Mytilus edulis: one gene and its partners. The protein of the gene in region 2 purifies or fractionates together with the protein of the main gene of each other region. This does not show direct contact. Links are inferred from orthologs where the notes say so. Each region holds a gene or a part of one and is shown on either strand. Other genes may lie near its edges.

Evidence for each region. The genes of interacting proteins can lie anywhere in the genome.
Region 1: the proteins of dnaJ homolog subfamily C member 7-like (region 2) and stress-induced-phosphoprotein 1-like purify together in Homo sapiens (affinity purification with mass spectrometry; 4 studies listed by BioGRID and IntAct, with this or other methods). This does not show direct contact. The link is inferred for Mytilus edulis from reciprocal best matches to the Homo sapiens genes DNAJC7 and STIP1.
Region 3: the proteins of dnaJ homolog subfamily C member 7-like (region 2) and intermembrane lipid transfer protein VPS13B-like purify together in Homo sapiens (co-immunoprecipitation; 3 studies listed by BioGRID and IntAct, counting the BioPlex papers as one, with this or other methods). This does not show direct contact. The link is inferred for Mytilus edulis from reciprocal best matches to the Homo sapiens genes DNAJC7 and VPS13B.

Annotation. Positions count from the first base shown.
Region 1 is NC_092346.1:83,738,273-83,746,642, forward strand, and holds the start of stress-induced-phosphoprotein 1-like, read right to left. Parts: upstream 3,182-8,370; 5' UTR 2,927-3,181; coding exon 2,903-2,926; intron 1-2,902. Other genes in the region: putative per-hexamer repeat protein 5, read left to right, coding at 5,354-5,619, 6,858-7,101. UniProt on the Homo sapiens protein: Acts as a co-chaperone for HSP90AA1. Mediates the association of the molecular chaperones HSPA8/HSC70 and HSP90.
Region 2 is NC_092357.1:50,581,211-50,589,082, reverse strand, and holds the start of dnaJ homolog subfamily C member 7-like, read left to right. Parts: upstream 1-4,597; 5' UTR 4,598-4,632; coding exon 4,633-4,706; intron 4,707-7,872. Other genes in the region: putative ankyrin repeat protein RF_0381, read right to left, coding at 4,282-4,437. UniProt on the Homo sapiens protein: Acts as a co-chaperone regulating the molecular chaperones HSP70 and HSP90 in folding of steroid receptors, such as the glucocorticoid receptor and the progesterone receptor.
Region 3 is NC_092355.1:81,121,548-81,129,997, reverse strand, and holds the start of intermembrane lipid transfer protein VPS13B-like, read right to left. Parts: upstream 3,182-8,450; 5' UTR 3,109-3,181; intron 1,105-3,108; 5' UTR 915-1,104; coding exon 1-914. UniProt on the Homo sapiens protein: Mediates the transfer of lipids between membranes at organelle contact sites. Binds phosphatidylinositol 3-phosphate. Functions as a tethering factor in the slow endocytic recycling pathway, to assist traffic between early and recycling endosomes.

The sequences.
Region 1 (8,370 bases), on a different chromosome or scaffold from region 2:
TTATTGTTGTTTACAGTTTATCTCTATCGATAATAATATTCAAGATAATGACCAAAAACAGCAAAATTTTCCTTAAAACTAACAATTCAGGGTCAGCAACCCAACAACGGGTTGTCCGATTCATCTAAAAATTTCATAGCAGATAAATGTTGACCTGATAAACAATTTTACCCCATGTCAGATTTGCTCCAAATGCTTTGGGTTTTGAGTTATAAGCCAAAAACTGCATTTTACCCCATGTTCTATTTTTAGCCATGGTGGCCATCTTGGTTTGATGGCCGGGTCACTGGACACATTTTTCAAACTACTAACCCAAAAGATGATTGTGGCCAAGTTTGGATTAATTTAGCCCAGTAGTTTCAGAGGAGAAGATTTTTGTAAAATATTACTAAGATTTACGAAAAATAGTTAAAAATTGACTATAAAGGGCAATAACTCCTAAAGGGGTCAACTGACCATTTCAGTCATGTTGACTTATTTGTAAATCTTACTTTGCTGAACATTATTGCTGTTTACTGTTTATCTCTATCTATAATAATATTCAAGATAATAACCAAAAACAACAAAATTTCCTTAAAATTACTAATTCAGGGGCAGCAACCCAACAACGGGTTATCCGATTCATCTGAAAATTTCAGGGCAGATAGATCTTCACCTGTTTAACAATTCTATTCCATGTCAGATTTGCTCTAAATACTTTGGTTTTTGAGTTATAAGCCAAAAACTGCATTTTACCCCTATGTTCTATTTTTAGCCATGGCGGCCATCTTGGATGGTTGGTCGGGTCACCGGACACATTTTTTAAACTAGATACCCCAATGATGATTGTGGCCAAGTTTGGTTTAATTTGGGCCAGTAGTTTCAGAGGAGAAGATTTTTGTAAAAGTTAACGACGACGCCGGACGCCGGACGCCAAGTGATGAGAAAAGCTCACTTGGCCTTTTAGGCCAGGTGAGCTAAAAACACATATATACTTTTCTTGGAATGATCTTCAATGCATTTTATGATTTAATTTAAAGATGGATTTAAGAAAGAAAAAAAAAAAAAAGACATTTAGCTTGTATAGTACCTATTGAGGGGATCTGCAACACTATTCAGTAGATAACTATACACTTGACTTTATGGTCCAGGCCTCTACAATAACTTTTTTTTCAACTTGTCCAGTAGGACAAGTACATTCCAAAACTTACTTGTAACTTGTCCAAAACAAATCTTAATATTAACCTTTTTTGCATTTCAAGTTGATTCAAGGAACAAAATGAATTACAAAAAAATTGAACAGAATTTGATTTATATCCTTTGAAATACTTTTAAAAGATATGAGCCATGAACAACTGAATTGAGTTGTGTCACAGGACTTAGGTTCTAGTTTTTATCAATGCTAAAGTCTCATCATACTTTGCACATGAGGCACCATCTGATTGGCCTCTAAATGTACACTCATTGGATTTTTATCCATTTTTTTAAAAGTTGAAAAAAGTTTATTCAAATGCAATCAATAAAAAGAATATGAGGCATGATTGTCAATTTGACACAAGACCAAATGACACAGAAATTAACACTTATAGGTCACTGCATTGCATTGGTATTGTTTTTTCTACATAAAGATCAAACATGATTTGATGATTTTTATGGTAAATAATTTCCTCATTCTTATTTAAAAAATACGTTATGGACATCGGTATTAATTATTATAGAGCAACAAAATAAGGTAGGAAAAGAAGTTCTGATTTGTCTTGGTCCAGAAATGTCTACTGCCTTGCCAAACTGTCTATTAATCATGTTTATGAAATATGTCTCCTACAGTGCCCAACTGTCTATTAAACTTGGAGCCGAATCATTTCCGAGCTGTTGACGAACTGTCTTTTAAAGTTACCTTATCTAAAATGCCCATGGTTGAATTGGATCTGTAAGACTGGTTTCCGAGAAAAGTGTGCTTTTTACCTGTTAAAAGTACTTGACAAAGAACCAGTTTAAATTATCGATTGCAAGTCTGAGGGGTCTAATTTTATTATTCGACTAAGAAATAAAAAGTTTCAATTAGTTTCAGTTTAAAAAGGAAAGATGTCAAACAAATCTTCTTTTCTTGTTTTTTTGTTAATAATTATACTTTGTTCATCAAAGTTGGATTAAAATTTATTTTCTGCAGAATGATTCTACTTGTCCCATCGGACAAGCTTGGTATAGCTTTTACCTGTCCGACCTTTTTTACCTCTGGTACCAGACAATCAGACAAGCGTTATTGTCGAGGCCTGTGGTCCTTATCAAATGAAGGTTGTTTACAAAAAAAATCGTGATCAAGTGTATAACTATGTACTGGTAGAATCCTCCGTTTTCAGAATCCATGTAAACTCCCTATCACTTTCAGCATTAATTGATATGTGTCACAACAATATTTACAAGGACAACCCCCACTCCAATACAACTTTTAGGGAGTGCTAGGACATTGGGAAGTCTGTTATTATGGTAGAGGAAGCCGAGAACTAGGAGAGAACCACTGCGACACTCAGCGGAAACAGAAAAATTTCTTTGCAAGTTGAGGGAGGTAATAAACAGATTTGTATCATTCACCAAAATGAGTTATAATAAGGTTAATAACAATCTGATCGACTTTAAGCTGGAACAACTTGAAATATATATATATATTATAAACCTATTTGGGTTACTCTGATACTGATAGGTTTACATGAAGTGCGACTCCATGGTATCATGTTAAATCATGGTGGCATTTCCACGTGAGCTTGCAGTTAAAAGTTTGTATTTACTTTTTTTTTCATTGATATGTGTGCTAGGTGCCGGTTTTCCAGTTAGTGTAAAACACGTGCAGACAAATTCAACAGAATTCGTTGTGGTTAACCATACTCATGGCATACAACTGGTTGTCTCTTCAACCTAATCTTACCTTTTTCTGATTTTCGGATGACATATTCCTACAGGCTACAGCGTTTTCCTATGTTTTCTCAATTATTGAAACCGAATTTTCTAGAGTCATTCGTACTTATCGGAACTCACTTAGCATTATCCATTAGTTTTTGTCGACTGATTCCCTGAAAAAGAAATTTCTTCGTACCGAGAAGAAGGAACAGTGACCAGTATATTTACCTCCCTTTGATATTCCGGAACGCCTTGGTAGTTTTCGTCAATAAAAACGACTTGCAGCTTTAATCTGTGATATGCGCATAAAAAATTAAAATAGATCATTTAAATGCGCATATTACATACACCTCTTGAACTAAGGGAGCTACCATTTGATTTTTATGGGGGGGCTAGGATGAAAAATTTTGTCCTGCATTTTTTTTTAGCTGTAATCTCTGTCCTGCCTTTTTATTTTTCACTCTGTTCGGTCCTGCCTTTTTTTTTTTAGTTTATTCTGACTTTTTTTTACCTAAATTGTCGTCCTGACTTTTTTTTTTTGCAAGTGTCTCATCCTGCCTTTTTTTTTTACTCAAAACTACTGTCCTGCCTATTTTTTTTCAAATTTCATAGCCCCCCAATAAAAATCAAATGGTAGCTCCCTAATGAAATCATAGAACAATAAACAATACAATACAATACAATACAATACAATACAATACAATACAATACTATAGTGTTATTAACTGGCTGTTTCTGTATTGGCACTGGTATAGATTCTCGGTCAGCTGTATTGGCCCTCGACCCCGTAGGGTCGAGGGCCAATACAGCTGACCGAGAATCTATACCAGTGCCAATACAGAAACAGCCAGTTCATAACACTTTTATTAAAGGCACTGGCTACGGTTACATGGAAATGTAACAATAATAAAAATATTATTGTTACATTGGAGACTAATTGCCGGAATGCAAAGTTGGGTGAGGAACCGATTAATTACAAATGTAACAATAATTACTGAGGCTACGGTTACATTACGTTATTGTTACATGAAACAGCAATGTACGCTAGATTGATTAAACTTAAATCTTCTATAGTTGTATTGCTTCATTCTTTCATATGTACTAAACAATACTAGTAATTTAATACTGATAAACAATAAAATATTATTTTTCAACAAATGGTGTACAACTTGAATAGTTTTACTACATATTAATGGTTTTGATGTTCTTAAAGATACTGCTCAAAATTAGGAGTGTGACTGTCAAAGGCGAAAAATATAGTTCAATGGTTTCACTTTTTTGAAGTATTTAACTGCACACCTACTCTTATTACTGTCATTATACTTTGGACCAATTTTGTTTATGGTGAAAAAAATAAAAGTTAGGATGCGTTTTAAACGAAACTGAAACAATATCAGGACATACATTTCATACAGCTTTATAACTTGACGCAAATTGATAATCAAAAGCAAAGTTTGCTTACTGTAACTTAAAAAAAATACTAAGAAATTATGTATGTACACGTATCCGTGGAGGACGTAATTTCGGTCATCAAAAATGTGTCGGACTTTAAAAACAACTTACTGGATTTGTAGAAATTGTCATTGTAAATAAAAAATTACAGTAAATAAATTGTATGTTATAAATGTATGTAATAAATGTCCTCAACTTTTATTATTTAGTACATATTACTAGTCCCATCGTACTTTGCTTTTTTTCATGTAACAATAACGCAATGTAACCGTAGCCTCAATAATTATTGTTACATTCGTAATTAAACAGGTCCTTACCCAACCATGCATTCCGGCATTTAGTCTCCAATGTAACAATAATATTTTTATTATTGTTACATTTCCATGTAACCGTAGCCAGTGCCTTTATTAAATGATTATAAGAGAATTAAAAACCGGAAGTGAACGTCCCGTATTAGCCCATGGGCCAATACAGCTTTTTTCCCGCTTTTTTCTGTAATTGCCCTGTTTTTTCCGTTTGAAAACATTAAGACATTACAAAACATTGCACATCATTTAACCTGTTTATTTTATTACTTTAATTTAAAAAATATTATACAAATGTTTTTATGCATAACGATACTTCAAGAGTAAAGTAATGGCGTAAGAAAATTGAAAACCGGAAGTGAACGTCCTGTATTAGCCCTAGGGCTAATACGACTTTTTTCCCGCTTTTTTCTGTATTGGCCCTGTTTTTTTCCGTATTGGCCCTGTTCGAAGAGCAATATTAACTCTTGATTTATATCGACAGTGGAACGTTTTTAGTATTGCACATGCTGATTTATCCGTATTAGGGCTTATTTGCTCATATCATTTAATAAAATACAATACAATACAATACAATACACAATACCAATACCAATACCAATACCAATATCAATATAATACCAATACAATACCAATACCAATATAATACCAATACAATTAATACAAATACAAATACAAATACAATACAATATAAAACCAATATCAATAAAACACCAATACCAATGTCACTGTCTACGTCACTGTTGATGCCAATCAATGTCAATGTCAATGCAATGTCAATTGGGATTGGGATTGGAATTGGAATTATAATTGAAATAAGAATTGGAATAGGAATAGGAATAGGAATAGGAATAGGAATAGGAATAGGAATAGGAATAGGAATAGGAATAGGAATAGGAATAGGAATAGGAAAAGGAATAGGAATAAGGAATAGCAATAGCAATAGCAATAGCAATAGCAATGGGAATGGGAGTGTGAATTGGAATAGGTATAGGAATTAGAATAGGAAACGAAATAGAAATAAGATGTCAACTGATTACAATATTCGAAGTCAATGTTGATGTCAATGTCAATGACAATTACAATGCAAATGACAATGTCAATACCAATAGGAATAGGAATAGGAATTAAAATATGACTATGATTAGGATTAGGAATATGAATATGAGAAGTAACAGCAATATAAATTGAAATAGGAATAGGAATTGGAATAGGAATAGGAATGGGAATGGGAATGGGAATGGGAATGGGAATGGTAATAGGAATAGGAATTAGGAATAGGAATAGGAATTAGGAATTAGGAATTAGGAATTAGGAGTAGGAATAGGAATAGGATTAGGAATAGGAAGAGGAATTATGAATAGGAATAGGAATAGGAATAGGACTAGGAATAGGAATTAGGAATAGGAATATGAGAAGTAACATGAATATAAATTGAAATTGGAATAGGAATTGGAATTGGAATAGGAAAAGGAATAGGAATAGGAATAGGATAGGAATTGGAATAGCAATAGCAATAGCAATAGCAATAGCAATAGCAATTGGAATAAAATTGAAATAACAATAGCAATAAGAATATGAATATGAATTCGAATTGAAATAGGAATACCGTATAGCGGGTTATTTTCGCGGGTGTGAATTTTCGCTTATTTTCGCGGAAAGAACCAAAATCACCAAAATAAATTCCGCCAATTTAAAAGTGCACAGGCTAAGATATTGATAACAAAAATTTGAGTCCGCTAAAATAATAACCGTCAAAATATTTCGAATACATTTTTCAATGAAAATCGCGAATTTTTACACCCGCGAAAATAACCCGCTATACGGTATGATTAGGAATTGGAAAAGGATAAGTAATAGGTAAATGAATTCGAATAGGAATAGAATAGGAAATTGAATTGGAATATGAATTTGAATAGGTAATGAATTCGAATTGTAATAGGATCAGCAGGCGCGGATCCAGAGGGGGGGGGGGGGGTCCGGGGGTTGGAACCCCCCTTTTTTTTGGCCGATGTATTTGAATGGGAGCATATAGCTGGACACCCCCCCCCCCCTTTTTACCCTGGGTTGGGAACCCCCTTTTTTAAAATGGCTGGATCCGCCCCTGATCAGGAATAGGAATAATAATAGGAATAGGATTAGGAATATGAATAGCATTAGGAATATGAATAGGATTAAGAATATGCATTTGAATATGAATTTGAATATGAATTGGAATTGGAATAGGAATTGGAATAAAAAGAGGAATAAGATTAGGAATAGGATTAGGATTAGGATTAGGATCACGGGATCAGGATCAGGATCAGGATCAGGATCAGGATCAGGATCAGGATCAGGATCAGGATCAGGATCAGGATCAGGATCAGGATCAGGATCAGGATCAGGATCAGGATCAGGATCAGGATCAGGATCAGGATCAGGATCAGGATTAGGAATAGGAATAGGAATAGGATTATTAATAGGAAAATGAATTGGAATAGGAATATGGTCGGGTATAGGAAAAGGAATAGGAATAAGATATGAATTGATAATGGAATTGAATTTGGAATTGAAATACTCTAACGCGAGAAAAGACCGAGGAAGTCATGTTTTTTTCAGATTTTTTTCTCTTCTGTTCAACAATTGGCAACCCCTGAATTACAGGCTCCTGACCTCGGACAGGCACCTACAAACACAATGTGGATGTTTTAAACTTGTTACCGGGATCCTAACCCTCCCCTAACCTGGGACAGTGGTGTAACAGTATAAAACAAAAACGAATAATAAAAATGAGTTGAAAAAGGCTTAAATCATTAGAAGGATACAAGTGTAGATACATCTATCAAAAACACAGAGTGGAAGTGGCCGGGTACCAAGACTCTTTCATTTTGCAATAGAATTAGTGCATTTGTCTTTTCTGCACTTTACACAAGTTTTCCCCATTCCAAACTAAAAGACAAATTGAAAGTATTGGTTCTGCTTTTATTCATAAAAAAGTATGACCAACGTAAATACAAGTATTTTGTCTTAGGGAGGGATAAATCATACTTTGAAAAAAAAACACTTTGATTCAAACAAACAATTGTCTGAAACTGACATCTAGATGCTTGATTTGAATGACAATATATTCATTACGTTTGTATGACATGTTTGTTTTTTAAAAACAAACAATCTGCATTTGCATGGGAACTTGCCGACTTGTTCCTTTATTCGTGTGAGACTGACTTAATACAGGAACTTCAGTTCTTATGAAGAACGAAAAGAAGTTAGCAGTACTTTCTGCTATAGCCTATGTAGATGATGTTCTATCACTAAATAGTAAGAAAAACACATTCAATTCCGTTCAATCTCTGCATCTAGTACTTATCTATCTGTACTTCTAACTAACTCCCTTACTACTATCAAAGAACTTGTTATTAACTTTTGTACATAGTCCCCTTATCAGTTAAAAAATCATTGTAAATTGTAATGGAATGGAATTCTAACTTGAGTCTATAACTTGTCATCGACGTGGAGTAAACTACATAAAATAACAAACAAACCTACCACTAAGTTCTCCTAACAATTTACTAAAGAAAAGGGAAAAAAATCCAAAATGTAATTTATCTTAATACAATGTCTTTTACAAATCTTTTTAAAAATGAGGTTTTTCCCTTTGAACAGAAATCTAGTAATTAATAAGTATCAAAAATTTTAATCGTGAAAATCGAACTTGATCTGTAACTTGTCATGATAAAACAATACACCAAATATAGAATCA
Region 2 (7,872 bases):
TCATTGTATTGATTTTTGATATTTTAGCCGTCTTTATAACAAACAACTCTAAAGGTGTTTTCATATCTTTTATCAAGCTACAATCTATATTTTATGATTCATTAGTTGAACATTTATTGAATTTTTCAACATGTCAAGGTGAAGAATCTAATTTAAAAAAAATAATTAAGCATATAATCTTCTTTTTGTGGTTTAAAGTTTCTTTAAAAAAGGTAGATGCTGAACAAATATAATATACAGATGTATTAAGCAATATCAAATTGTCACATTATTTTTTCAATACAGTCACAAAGCCTAAATTTGCAATTTCTTTAATGAAAAATGCATATTTTTTTTAAATATACCCATAACACTTCGGATTTGTGAGCAGAAGACTATACGAACTTATAACCCCATCAACAATGATCAAAGTATCATACTTTACATAAATTTTAAGAAAATCAAGCAACAACAAAAAAGACTCATTTTTGAGAAGTTACAAATGTATCTCCCCTTCCAATGTTAATTTCCATATATACAAAATGCTGATTTGGATTTTTCCTCAAGTTAGATTTTTTGGGTCCTTTTTCTGTGTATAGTTAGGGTTTTAACAAGAGGCTCTCAAGAGCCTGAATCGCTCACCTGAATTTTTTTGGTTTAATCTCTCATCAATGATTATTTTGGCTTTTCAATTTATTTAAATGTTCTTTAAATCGTCCTATTTTCTTCAAAAGCAAAAAAAAATCATTTTCTCCTATGTTCTATTTTAGCCATAGGAGCTATGTTTCTTGACATACAAGGAAATGAAATATAAAATTTATACTAGATACTCTGAAACTCTGAAACTCATTTAGCCTAAGTTTGGCTGAAATTGATACAGCAGTTTCATAAGAGAAGATTTTTTAAAGTAAGTCAACATGATGAACAAATTGTGAAAAAAGTCTTTAAAGGGCAATAACTCCTAAAGAGGTCAATTGACAATTTTGGTCAAATTGACTTATTTGTAGATCTTACATTGCTGATCATATTTGCTGTTTACAGTTTATCTTTATCTATAATAATATTCAAGATAATGACCAAAAACTGCAAAATTTCCTTAAAATTACCAATTAAGTGGCAGCAACCCAACAATTGGATGTTTGATTCATCTGAAAATTTCAGGGCTAATAGATATTGACCTAATGAACATTTTTACTCCCTGTCAGATTTGCTCTTAATGCTTTCGTTTTTGAGATATAAGCCAAAAACTGCATTTGACCCCTATGTTTTATTTTAAGTAACGGCGGCCATGTTTTTTGACGGATCAAAAATCAAAGCACACACTTTGTGCAGGATAATCTAAGGAACAACCATGCTAAGTTTTAACCAAATCCATTCAGTAGTTTCAGAGGAGAAGATTTTTTAAAGTTAGCAAATATGATGAACAAATTGTGAAAAATTGTCATTAAAGGACAATAACCCCTTAAGGGGTCAATTGACAATTTTGGTCATATTAACTTATTTGTAGATCTTACTTTGCTGTTTACAGTTTATCTTTATCTATAATAATATTCAAGATAATGACCAAAAACTGCAAAATTTCCTTAAAATTACCAATTAAGTGGCAGCAACCCAACAATTGGATGTTTGATTCATCTGAAAATTTCAGGGCTAATAGATATTGACCTAATGAACATTTTTACTCCATGTTAGATTTGCTCTTAATGCTTTCGTTTTTGAGATATAAGCCAAAAACTGCATTTGACCCCTATGTTCTATTTTAAGTAACGGCGGCCATGTTTTTTGACGGATCAAAAATCAAAGCACACACTTTGTGCAGGATAATCTAAGGAACAACCATGCTAAGTTTTAACCAAATCCATTCAGTAGTTTCAGAGGAGAAGATTTTTTAAAGTTAGCAAATATGATAAACAAATTGTGAAAAATTGTCATGAAAGGACAATAACCCCTTAAGGGGTCAATTGACAATTTTGGTCATATGAACTTATTTGTAGATCTTACTTTGCTGATCTTTTTTGCTGTTTACAGTTTATCTTTATCTATAATAATATTCAAGATAATGACCAAAAACTGCAAAATTTCCTTAAAATTACCAATTAAGGGCAGCAACCCAACAATTGGATGTTTGATTCATCTGAAAATTTCAGGGCTGATAGATATTGACCTAATGAACATTTTTACTCCCTGTCAGATTTGCTCTTAATGCTTTCGTTTTTTAGGATATAAGCCAAAAACTGCATTTGACCCCTATATTCTATTTTAAGTAACGGCGGCCATGTTTTTTGACGGATCAAAAAATCGAAGCGCACATTTTGTGCAGGATATACTAAGGAACAATCATGTTAAGTTTCATTCAAATCCATTCAGTAGTTTCAGAGGAGAAGATGTTTGAAAAATTGTTAACGACGACGACGACGGACGCCAAGTGATGAGAAAAGCTCACATGGCCTTTTAGGCCAGGTGAACTAATAATGCTATAGATTAGAACTAAAACATTTTCTTCTGCATATAGTTTAAGAGTAAAACATAGTTTGACTGAACTATGAGAGAAGTTATTTATCTTGTCGGAAGCAAGTTAACTCGTACCAACGGAAACTCGTACCATGTTAACTCGTACCAAAAAAGTTAACTCGTACCAACGTAAAGTCGTACCACTGGGAAGTCGTACCATTAAAAATATATTAAAAAATACGAATCTTTTGTGGTGTTTCTTCTTTCTAAAATTAATAAAAAAAGTTGAATTACTGTAATTTTATACTGGATTTTAATGCCCTGCTAATTAAAATATATGATATTCCTTTGATTGTGTGATCAAATTAATACAGTCCTTTGATTATGTGATTATAGTGAACATGGACTATTAGTGCGACCATTAGTGCTTCTTGAATGTTTATTTTTCTATATGTAACAATAGTGCCAGTTATCTTTGAAAACATTATTGTATTAATGTAATACCATGTGAAATCTTAAATGTAAAAGGATGATATAGATGTGAATAAAACATAAGGTGTATGTGTATCTCTTGAGAGAAAAAAATAATAATATTTGATGTTTTGTTAATTTTTTATAGATGATTGTTATTGAAATTGTGGTAAATAAAGCATCAAAATAAAATATATATTCTTTGTTATTCTGCCAGTACTACCATTAAGCCTACTGGCCATTCACAATACCATTATTCACAATATAGATGGACAGTCAAACTCATAACTCGTAAATAGAAATAAACTTAAAATATTATGCTGCCAAGTTGCCAACACTACCATTACGTCTACTGGCTATTCACAATACCATTAGAACCATGGATGGACAGTCAAACTCATAAAAAGAAATAAACGCCATGGCTAATAAATAATAGCACACAAGACCGTGACACCATAGCAAACGAAAGACTAATCTGAGGATGATTTCAGGTATCATTTACTTTCCTCTGAAGGTGTCACTACTCTTTATCAAAGCAATGCATATCTCACACATTAAATGAACATGACATTACTTCAAATCTTAAAAGAAGTTGTCATATTTTGATAACATTAAATACATAGAAGTAATTAACGACCTTGACTGGCTAAGCAACCCTACCACTATCGGTAATCATTATCTTGTGCAAAATATTATATATAAAAAAATTCATACTTTTAACATGTTGGTCATAAACAATTTACAACCTTTAAAGCACACTAAATTAATTCTTTCGGTGAATAAAATTCCTTTGAGAAACAAAAGAAAAGTATCCAAATCTATTCAATGTAACTGATTTGGAATGATTAAAAATTAAATCCAATGGTTATCAGTATAAGTTTAAAAAAGAATGATTCAAGGGAGACATCAAATCAAATCTGCCAAGGTATTGTCTATATCTAATACACATGGAACATTAGCTACAGATAGGTCATTGTACTTTCAAATTATATACATTTTACAGACTTTATTCATAATTAAACACCAATCAAATGCATTTTAAAATAAGTTGGTACGAGTTAGCAGTGGTACGAGTTTACATTGGTACGAGGTTTATTTTAGTGGTACGAGTTGACGTTGGTACGAGTTTACTTTGGTACGGGTTAACTATAATTCATCTTGTCAAAACTCTAATTACATTTTTTTTGTAATATTTAGTCTGAGCTGGTCATTATATCTTTAATGGTCCGAGTTTTCTTTTCATGTAGACTCCAGGCCGACTTGTCGCACAACTTCTGAGTGAGTTGCACCAATCGTAAAATTATACTAGGTAGTACATGTAAGTAACAGAGTAAAGTATTGAATTTTATTTGAAAAGACTGAAAGTTTGAGGAGCGTTACCCAGAGTTTTTGCTGTCGAATAGCAAGAACGCCTCCCTTCACTAGCCTTCTTACAGCTGTTTCGTCACCGTCTTTTACTGCGCGTTTCAATTTATCTTCATCTTCCTGTTTTTCTTTGTAAGAATCGTTATCGTGAAATTTACGTTTTCTCTGCATTTTTTTCCCTCGCTGTATATTTAGATTATAACTGACATATCAAATCTCACCTGTATAAAAACACTTGACTGAGGTAGTCACAGAAGCTCGTTCCCTGTATTGAATCAGCCTTTCTTGCTACCTAATACAGACGGGAATACAAACAAATAAAAAGTAACCAGTTTGTTCACAAATCTCACGAGACCAACAACAATCATGACGGACGTGGATACGATGGAAGTTGACCCTCAACCAACTGAAGACGAAGTAGTTGATTTAACAGAAGATAGGTATAAAAAATTGACTATACACGTGTTAAGAAATAATTTTTTATTTGATTCTTTCAATTAGGTTAGCAACAACTTGTCTTATCTCAGATATTTTGACGGTGTTCCCCAAAAATGTCGGAGCGTGTTTTCCGAAAAAGCCCTTTCGTTTATGGTGAATTGGATATATTTCTTCCTTTTTACAATGTAAAGTATATTTAAACCTATATAATGTTCAATTATTTAGCATGTGTTAAGTACTTCATTCAAAGATTATAAATAAATGCTAGAATTAAAGAACTTGCTTCGCTTTTCCAGAAACAAATGACGTCATGGAACACCGGGAATCCCCAAATAGAACTTTCTGGAAATCTTTAATTTATTTTTAGACTACTACGTTAAAAGGGGGAGGTTGGACTGTTGGTGTTGGAAAAAATGGGGAAAATGATTGGGTTTATCAAATGCCAATTTAAATAAACTATTTATTGTTTATTCTTATTGATTTTAGTTACAAAAAGTTTTTTTACTACAATACAAAACCTGTCCCGCTTGACCTGAAGCCCCACTAGAATTTTTGATGTCCTAACAACAATAACTTTTCCATTGTGGCATCAGATATTTTCTAGTATGACGTAAAATTTTCAAGAACTTTTGTGATGTCCAGTATTGGCAGTAACGGTGGACAAATATCAGTGCCATTTGTATGCTATACACATTATCGCTAATCCTGGCTGACCCGGTCGCTTGAACTTTTGACGCATACAACAATCACTTTTCCATTGGGGCTTCAGATATTTTGTTTTATGACGTCAAAATTTTACGGGAACCTTTGTGATATCCAGTAACGGCGGACAAATAGCAATACATTCTGGACATTACACAGGTTCCGGTAAAATTTTGACGTCATACTACACAATATCTGACGCCACAATGGAAAAGTGATTATTGTATGACATCAATAGTTCAAGATGGACAGATTCTCAGGTGAGCCAGAAATAATGATAAGGTGTATTAATAATGCATGAGCTATTTGGCACTGGATGTTATGTCTCCTGTTTGTGTGTCTGAAGTGATGCTCGAAACCTAAAAATTTATTAAAAAACTTGATAAACAGTTTATGATTTGAAGAGATTTTAGAACATGTTGAATATCAGAACTGTTGAAAATTTGCTGAAAGCCCTCTGTCAGATTATTAAGAAAGGCAGTGTTCTAGCTACAAAGTTTGAACAGGGCGCAGCGCCCACCCTTTTTTATTGACGCCCTTGCCTTTTTTCTGTCATTCCTCGAGCGCCCTGTCGTTTTTATCACCAAAAAATCAGCATTTTCCTGCCTTTAAAATACCGGTAACTTCGTAATTGTTCCATGAACAGGAAGTTCAGCTACCTGTGTAAGCTGTCAAATTAAGTGACCCATTAAGTGTATGGCTTTACCTGACGGCTTTGGTGTCAAACACATTGTTTAATTAACACCAATTACCTTAGCTTTTGGTCATGAATAATTGGTGTATTTCAAAAAAGTTTGACAAACAATTTGATTTATTTATTTATTTATCACCTGTTCACAATATATTATTTAAATTTATGTTTCTTTAAGTAAAAGATTAAATATTAAACAAATTGAATGCAAATGCATATAATTAGAATAATAATTTAAATTATTTTCAATTGAATACACTTTAAAAATAAATATTTTGAAAATTATATTTTGCATCTTTACTTCCATTAATTGATCTATCAAGTGCAGTCTTCACGGTTAGTCACTAGTCCAATGCCCCAGACTAGTAAAATTTCATTCAGACTAGTAAGTTTTTGCAAAACTTTGTTTGGACCAATAAGAAAAATGTCGAAACATTGGTCTTTGGACTAGTAGTTGAAAAAGTTTATGGTGCAGACTGCAAGTGCAATGAAGAATTTTAATTTCATAAATTAAAAACCTACCTGACATATTTCTGTTAGGATTATCTCTGACATATGTCAGGTAGGTATAATTTATTTATAAAATTTTAACTTGTTTACAAATTTTTAAATTTTAATTTCATAAATTAAAAACCTACCTGACTGTCAGATGTCAGAGATAATCCTAACGGACATATGTCAGGTAGGGATAATTTATTCATAAAATTTTAACTTGTTTACAAATTTTTGAATTCCAAATAAGAAAATCATTTAATGGTCAGACTGCTGTAGTGACAGCAACAACAAGACAAGATAGAAAACAACAAGACAGCATACTATACATTATATGGCCGAAAGAGGGTCTGAACATCATAACCGTACGTTAATAAAGTCTACTAAAAAGAAAATTGTGCCAAAAGAATTAAATTACACAACTCCATTTTAACTGAAACTTGATGTTTCAATAATGCATAATAAAAATTATGTGCTAATTAATTATGAGGCTTAAATAATTCCCTTTTTTCAATGATATAAATTTACGCGTAAAATTGCCCTTTTTAACCGGATTTTTGTGACAAAAATGTCGGTTATTGATTTGGGGATGTACGGCGGGCGGGCGGTCGGGCGGGCGGTCGGTCGGGCGGGCGGGTGGGAATCAAATGTTGTCCGTGCATTAACTCATGAACCGTTCAACCAAAGCTTTTAAAATTTTAATATGTTGTTACTGACAACTAAATGAAGGTCAAGTTCAATAATGGTGATTTTGACTTTTACCGTTCAGGAGTTATGGTTCTTGAAAGATTGAAAAATGGAGTTTCCAGTCGTGTCCCTGCATTTACGCATGAACTGTTCTTCCTAAGCTTTCCAAATTTTAATATGTTGTTACTGATGACAAAATGGAGATCAAGTCCAATAATGGCGATTTTGACTTTTACCGTTCAGGAGTTATGGTTCTTGAAAGATTGAAAAATGGAGTTTCCAGTCGTGTCTGTGCATTTACGCATGAACTGTTCTACCTAAGCTTCCCAAATTTTAATATGTTGTTACTGATGACAAAATGGAGGTCAAGTTTAATAATGACGATTTTGACTTTTACCGTTCAGGAGTTATGGTTCTTGAAAGATTGAAAAATGGTGTTTCCAGTCGTGTTCGTGCATTTACGCATGAACTGTTTTACCAAAGCTTCCCAAATTTTAATATGTTGTTACTGATGACAAAATAGAGGTCAAGTTCAATAATGACGATTTTGACTTTTACCGTTCAGGAGTTATGGTTCTTGAAAGATTGAAAAATGG
Region 3 (8,450 bases), on a different chromosome or scaffold from region 2:
GTTATAGTGCTGTCTTCTTCATAAACAGTACTAGTACTATCATGTCCCTCGTCTTTCTTGGCTGGATCTAACGTACCATAATACAATGCCATACATAGTTCTATCAGTCTCTCAAACATTGGTAGTTGTGTATCAGTCAATGATACGTCTAAATGTTCACAAAACAGGTCAAACTTTGTTACACTCGCCCGCTTGGCATTAACAGAATCATATTTGGCGTACAACCTCCCTGTGACGGAGCACCTATAGATCAGTGGATCCTGGTAATGTTCTATCTTACCACTCTGGTCACATTTATCAAGGCACACCGTCAGATCACACAGGTTGATGGATTTCCTTAACACTAACTCAGGGGGAGATAACTCTATAAAGTCTCTGTCCCACTTCTCATCTGCGCTATATACCTCTGCTGATTTTATGTTTAAGGATAAAACAATGTCATCCTCGACAAACTTAACAATTAGATTATTGATGATGATGCTAACATTGTTGGCAATTTTATTCATCAAACTTTGTAAATATCCTGGTGGCAGATCTTCTTCACCCTGTTTCCTTGGTTTCAATGATGGCCTTGATTTTGACCGCCGTAAGTCAGACTTTGGTCCTTTGCTACTACCTTCATAAGGACTTTCTCTTAATTTCAGAATACATTCAATTGTGTTTATTGTTATCACAACAGGTTCAGATCCTAGTTTTGTCCACGGCACATGGATCCGTAACTCATGAATATGGCCACTTTTGAACACAATAGGGAGATGAATAGCCTTTTCTATGACATCCAAACGAAGGTCAAGATTATTGAGGACGACATCACCACCCCATAATGACAATTGAAAATCTTCAGGTCTAAGTTTGACATACTTGTCAACATAACCCATTAACAGGGGGCTGATGTAAGACTCTAACTTAAACATTGTTGTAACTAGAATCAAAACAAATTTATATTTTCTATGACCTTTGCCCTAGGTTATGACTTCTATCACCATTCCCTGTAACAATTGATGTAACTGTGTTGACAGCTTATCTTCCTATCAAGCAGCATTTTCAATGATTTAGTTCATGTATTATGTGTTGAGGAGCATTCGTCCTTTTCTTACAAAATATCTGCAAAAGAAAAAGAAAAAACACACTTTTTTAATATTTACTTAAAATTATATGGTAATTTTGAATTTCATAAATACACATTTGTTATAGTTTTTCCAAAGCAACCTAGGCATCAGGATAGTATACAGAATACTTTTATTACTCAAACAAACCTTGATATTTTATCAAAACTAATCTATACATGTATGACATGATGTGGAAAGGCACACATACATGTAATAATAATATTTTTGTCCACACATTTTTTTGTATACAGGGAGTATATTTTATCATTCATATGTTTTATTACATGGCAATCTATATTTTTAAAACAATATGACTTATTGCAGACATTGCACATACATGTACATGTATGCAACCGTTTAATAGTTCTGAGTTAGGGATTTAAATCTCTGTTTTGGACTCATCTTTTGCAATATCTTTCTATATTTATAACTGAAATCCCTATTGATCCAACATTTTAATGCTTAGACTTGAATATTTTTCATATAATAGGTGCCTGATCAACATAAAATATGGGACAACTTGGAGCCTGTTAACTTCAACTATCAATTAATGAGAAATATATACTATTGAATTTAAAAGATTTTACAGTGTAATGACTTTGAGTGTTAAAATTAAAATACACACCTATAGGAGATGATCATTTAATATTCTGGGGATTTCCTGCAGATTGACAATTTATATTCATCAATAATTTGCTAAGAAGACCCCTCCCCCTCAATAAAATGTATTCCCTTATTTTTATTGAAAGGTTACATACATTTGTATTATAATTTTAAGACTAGGCACCTGGTGTTCGTTGATTGTATGTATGTATGTACTGGTAAATGTCTCTGTTATCCGAAGAACCCTACCGAAAGCTTTAAGGATACAGTGCCATCTATGTACACTCCCTATCAGGATTACTGGAGATGTGTCACTAACGTCTATTTATACAACATTTATTTTAACAAGGACAATCAATCACCACCCAACACAAAGGGAGTGATAGGACACCGGTTAATCTGTAATTATGGTGGAGGAAGCCGAAGTACTCAGGTGGAAACAGACAAACCAGAAATATCAGAAGATTGATCTCCAGGTCAAAATAGGGGACAACTTTGACCAACCGAGGCCTTAAAGTACCCATTCTAGTTTAAACTCCGGTCTGGGTGAAAAATACCCTTCTGATGTAAAAAATGTACTGAAACTTTTAGCACCCCGAGTGAGAAATGAACTCGGACCTTCAGCACTGTAGCCATCAGTCTAAACCACTAGACCACGAACCAACATTGGTTATTGTTTGTTGATGTGATTAATAAGTGTTTCTTGGCTTTTTTTTTTTATAAATAAGACTTGGTTTTCCAGTTTGAATGGTTTTACACTAGTCATTTTTAAGGCCTTTTATAGCTTGCTGTTCGGTGTGAGCCAAGGCTCTGTGTTGAAGACTGTACTTCAACTTATGATTGTGACTTGGATAGCGAATTATCTCATCAGCACTCAGTCCAAATAATTATGACGTCTTGAAAGGCTATTATAATTTTTTCTTTGACGCCTTACTTCGACTAAACCCGTCAAAGAAAAAAATTATAATAGCCTTTCAAGACGTCATAATTATTTGGACTAATCAGCACTCATACAACATCTTATTAAGACTTTAGCCAATCTACTCTCTCAAGGCGTTATCAGGGCTCTGTCACCTTTACTGTATATCTACAACTTTCTCATACATATATAATTATATACATAACATTTGTACAGATGGATAAATTGTATTTGTATATTAAAGCGGGAAACTAATCCTTAAAAAGTTGATGGTATTCAGTAACTTAAGAAGAAGAAGAAGAAGAGGATGTTTTTGCTTTGAAGTTCAAAGAAGCAAAAACATCCTCCAAATATATATTTTTTTGAAGGCAGTTTAACTTTTAAATCAGTTATCATAGGTATGTTAGTCAATATAAAAAATATGTATAAATAGACGTATTGTTCATGTCAGTAAAATTGAGCTTCTGAATTTCTAACCCTTTTTGTTAATAAGTAAAACTGTATATTTACAGACGACCTGCCAACTCGACGATATACAACTTTTCCGAATGGTACATTCTTCGAAAAGATCCGAAATTTCCGCAACAGGATGTAGCGCGCGTAAAGGTGAAGCGAGTAGTTCTGGCTTGCTATAAAATGTGGACCAGTCGAACGTTAGGGTGAGTTTAAATATATATTTTATTTGCAAAACTAAAGTAGCAAAAGGGATTTGACACAAGTTATAACAACATACGTGATGTCCGCCCTAGGTTAGATCTAAGAGTGGAATACTCTTTATTCTTGGCAAGATTATTATATAAAAATAAACGTATTCTTAATTTCCAATAAACATTGATTTTATATAATACTATAATTATACCTTTTCTGGAATCATATGATTACTTTATTCTAAACATCGTTCATTTCTGTACAACGGTGTGCAAACAAAAATTAAATTAGAAGGACAATTCTTGCGTACTTTCCCAGAACTGCACTCGGGAATCGAGAAAAGGTGGTAAATGGTCCCCTGCTGATTTTTGTTGATTTTTTTTGTTGAAAATTTATGAAACTGAATGAACCGTGACAATTACTCATTATTAGGCGCACGTATAAGCTCAGTATTTGTTCATTGCAGCAGATGACGGAACCTTTATTTTGAAGGCACTGGCTACGGTTACATGGAAATGTAACAATAATAAAAATATTATTGTTACATTGGAGACTAAATGCCGGAATGCATGGTTGGGTAAGGACCTGTTTAATTACGAATGTAACAATAATTATTGAGGCTACGGTTACATTGCGTTATTGTTACATGAAAAAAATCAATGTACGATGGGACTAGTAATATATACTAAATAATAAAAGTTGAGGACATTTATTACATACCTTTATAACATACAATTTATTTACTGTAATTTTTTTTTATTTACAATGACAATTAATTATTTATACAAATCCAGTAAGTTGTATTTAAAGTCCGACACATTTCTACAAATCCAGTAAGTTGTATTTAAAGTCCGACACATTTCTACAAATCCAGTAAGTTGTATTTAAAGTCCGACAACTATTCAAGTTGTACACCATTTGTTGAATAATAATATTTTATTATTAATCAGTATTAAATTACGTACATTTTTGATGAACGAAATTACGTCCTCCACGGATACGTGTGCATACATAATTTCTTAGTATTTAAGTTACAGTTAGCAAACTTTGCTTTTGATTACCAATTTGCGTCAAGTTATAAAGCTGTATGAAAAGGATGTCTTGATATTGTTTCAGTTTCGTTTAAAACGCATCCCAAGTTTTATTTTTTTTCACCATACACAAAATTGGTCCAAAGTATAATGACAGTAATAAGAGTAGGTGTGCAGTTAAATACTTTAAAAAAGTGAAACCGTTGAACTATATTTTTCGCCTTTGACAGTCACACTCCTAATTTTGAGTAGTATCTTTAAGAACATCAAAACCATTAATACGTAGTAAAACTATTCAAGTTGTACACCATTTGTTGAATAATAATATTTTATTATTTATCAGTATTAAATTACGTACATATGAAAGAATGAAGCAATACAACTATAGAAGATTTAAGTTTAATCAATCTAGCGTACATTGCTGTTTTTCATGTAACAATAACGTAATGTAACCGTAGCCTCAGTAATTATTGTTACATTTGTAATTAATCGGTTCCTCACCCAACTTTGCATTCCGGCAATTAGTCTCCAATGTAACAATAATATTTTTATTATTGTTACATTTCCATGTAACCGTAGCCAGTGCCTATTTTGAATGATCTGATGAAACTTAAGTTTAAAACACATATTTCTTTGGGTCCTACTAAAATGCGCCCGGGAGCGCCCGGGAGAAGAAAAAGCGCCCGAGGAAAAGAAAAAGCGCCCGGGGAAGACAAAATAGTGCCAGGGGAAAAGAAAAGGCACCCGGGGAAAATATATAAATATTTTATTGGAATGAGACAACTTTGTCATGTTTGTGTCGATGAAATAAGTTATGCACATTGATTTGTTTTTAATTTTAGACAAGTAATTTGCAATTTCAGATAATAGACATTTGTAGTAAAGCACAAAAACAATTATGAATGTTTCAATTTTAACAATACTGAATATATGAATACTATTTCGAAAGACAGATAATAATGGATCACAGTTTATGCGGAAGATTTATAAAATGTAATGTAACGTTTTTCGTTTATTACATGCATCATTGGGTTTTATTATCATGGTATAATTAGATTACTTATTCTAATTAACTGTTATAAAGTAATTCCTTACACATGTTACAATCTATGTGTATCGCCTTCAATCAGATTGTACTTGTTAAATGTCAAATCAATCATGTTAATCAGCTGGTGCCCCTTTGCTAAGTTGATGCAGGTGTCTCAGTTGACCTCAGTTTCGATTGACCTTAGCTCCGGGCTCCGGGCTCCGGGCTCCGGGCTCCGGGCTCCGGGCTCCTGTAATTTAGCTCCTGTAGAATATTTCTTTGTTCAGAGTCATTTAACCATATTGTAATCAGGTTATTAGAGTAGTATAAAAGAGAGAAATAGTTGTAGATACGAGATACGATATACGAGGAGAGACGATTTTGTGTACGAGAGGTGCATATGTAGGAGATTTAGGATTATACCACCGTATTGTTGAGCCTGCAGTTTAGATGTTGTAAACTTGTATTACTGTTACATGTACTTTGGATTTTGAATAATACAGTATTGAACTTTAATCGACTTTGTGTTTATGTTAACTTGCAAGACTTCGTTCAGACTACACCAGGATCCATTTATTTATTTATGTGACCAGGATTCCCTTAATCACGCTACCAGAGATTTTTTAGGGTTACACTGTTAAAGAGTATACTTGGCATTTGTCGTCTGTGGACGTGTGAAACGTAGACACCAAACAACAAAGCACAAACACAAGAATACACACTTTAGTTTAAGTCCCCATACTTAAACACTTTTTCGTCACAGTAACTTCAAAAGACACGTTTCTGAAAAACGATATCAAAATGAAAAATGTAAAAAACAACTTAAATTTCAAAGATAAATATTAATTTAATCAAAATTAAAAGAGTTACACATAATGAATCAGCAAATAAAGCAGTACTATACATGTACCGTAGTTAAATCAAGGGGTAAAAAGCAGGAGCTTTGGTTTAAATTTTAAAAAACTATAGCATTAAAATCCTAATAAGCATAGCCATTCGGAAACAGTTTTAGTTTTATAAAAAGATAAATCTAGATCAACATTTGCATAAAAAAAGTGTTCACCATGCAGTTGCGAAAATATTAGACATCAGACACTGATTATTTACAAAACAAGTGAATGATTATTTTTTTTATTTGTTATAAAATATTATCATTTTATTCTCCCGGGCGCTAATTTTCCTTCCCCAGGCGCTTTTTCTCTCCCCCCCCCCCCCCGGGCGCATTTTCTTTTCCCGGGCGCTATCGGGCGCGTTTTAGTAGGACCGATTTCTTTAAATTCGTATTTCGTCTGCTTGGCATGTAAGATCACGTAACTTCTAGTTTAGTGCTTTGCTTATTTGTTCTATGCTTTTATGTATAAACATTTTGCATACATTACAATAAAGCTTTCTTACTTAGCATGTCTATATAAAATTGAGAAGGAGAATAGTAACGGGAATGTTAATTTTGTGTATGTTTTATATCCGTATTCTATTCTATAATATTTCAATCTAGTCTTTTCCACATTATACTCTATTCTATTTTAGTCTAGTCTATTCTAGTTTAGTATGTTCTATTCTATGAATTTCATTCTATTCCCGTTCTAACTTCTAGAAATCGCGAGATCGGCTTCAATTTTTGGTGGAGTGTAACTAGTGTGTCTGCAAGATCAATCTGGTCTCTGAATTACATTTCAATTTTTTGCATGAATATAATTGACATATTCAGTTATCTATCATACATGTTTACACTGCAGTGTAGGGTTTGGAGCTTTCATACATTTTTATTCATGCCTTCGATTTGTAAACTGCAGTGGGGTTTTATAGTTTCAATGTGAACACTTCGTTAGTGCTTTAGAGTTTCGATGTGTACAATGCAGCAGGGTTTTAAAGTTTCAATACATAATGTTTCATCATTCTATCGCCATGTATACTTCAGTGGAAATTTTAGAGTTTCAATGCATGTTTTTTATGGGCTTTTTTAAATCATTCCATGTGTATACTGCAGGTTATTTTTCGAATTTCAATACATCATTATTCATTGATTGTGTGCACTAAATTGATTTTTTATTAAAGTTTCCATATCATTACACTGCAATGATGTTGAAGAGTTTCCATGTATAAGGGAGCACCCATTTAACTATTAAAAGTGGGGTTATGGTTTATTTTTAGTCAAAAACTTGAAATTATTTTGTTTTTTCACCTCTTTCAATCAAATTATTTTGTTCGGCAAAATTTAATATTATAATCTATGGGGGAAAATCTGGATTCAGAAATTTTTTTCATCAATTTGGGCATTGGAATGTTTTTATAGGAATCAAAAACCACATCCCAAAACCCCTTGAAGTTAAATGTTAGTTCCTTAAACTACTAAACTTTGGGTTTGAGGGTTTCCATGAGTACACTGCTTTGCTGGTATGTTTAGAGTTTCCATGTGAACAATACATTAGGATTTTTAGGATTTCCATGTGTACACTGCAGAGCCTTTTTAAGTGTGATTTTTTTTAATTTTCTATGTGTACACTGCAGTTGAATTTTTAAATTTTCCATGCGTACATGGCATTCGGTTTTGGGGTCACCATGTGTAAACTAAGTATGATTTAATGAGTTTCCATGTGGACTGCAGTGGGATTTTTAGGATTTCTATTTGTAGAATGCATTGGGATTTTTATGTTTTTCATGTGTACACTACAGTGGGATTTGAACGGTTGCCATGCGTACATTGCAGTGTGGTTTTAAAGGTTTCAATGTTTTTTTTAATTTTCCGATTATTCACTAGACAGACTAAGTACTGCAGTTTTATTTATATAGTTTCGATGTGTTGACTCCAATGGGATTTTTAGAGTTTCTATGTGTACACGGCAATGGGGATTTAGAGTTTCTATGTGTACACGGCAATGGGATTTTTAGAGTTTCTATGTGTACACGGCAATGGGATTTTTAGAGTTTCTATGTGTACACGGCAATGGGATTTTTAGATCGAGTTTCTATGTGTACACGGCAATGGGGATTTAGAGTTTCTATATGTACATCGTAGTATGATGTCCAGGTGTACACTGCATTGGGAATCCGATTTTTAAGGTTTCAATTAAGGTGTACACTAAAGTGATATTTTTACGGATTTTATGTGTACA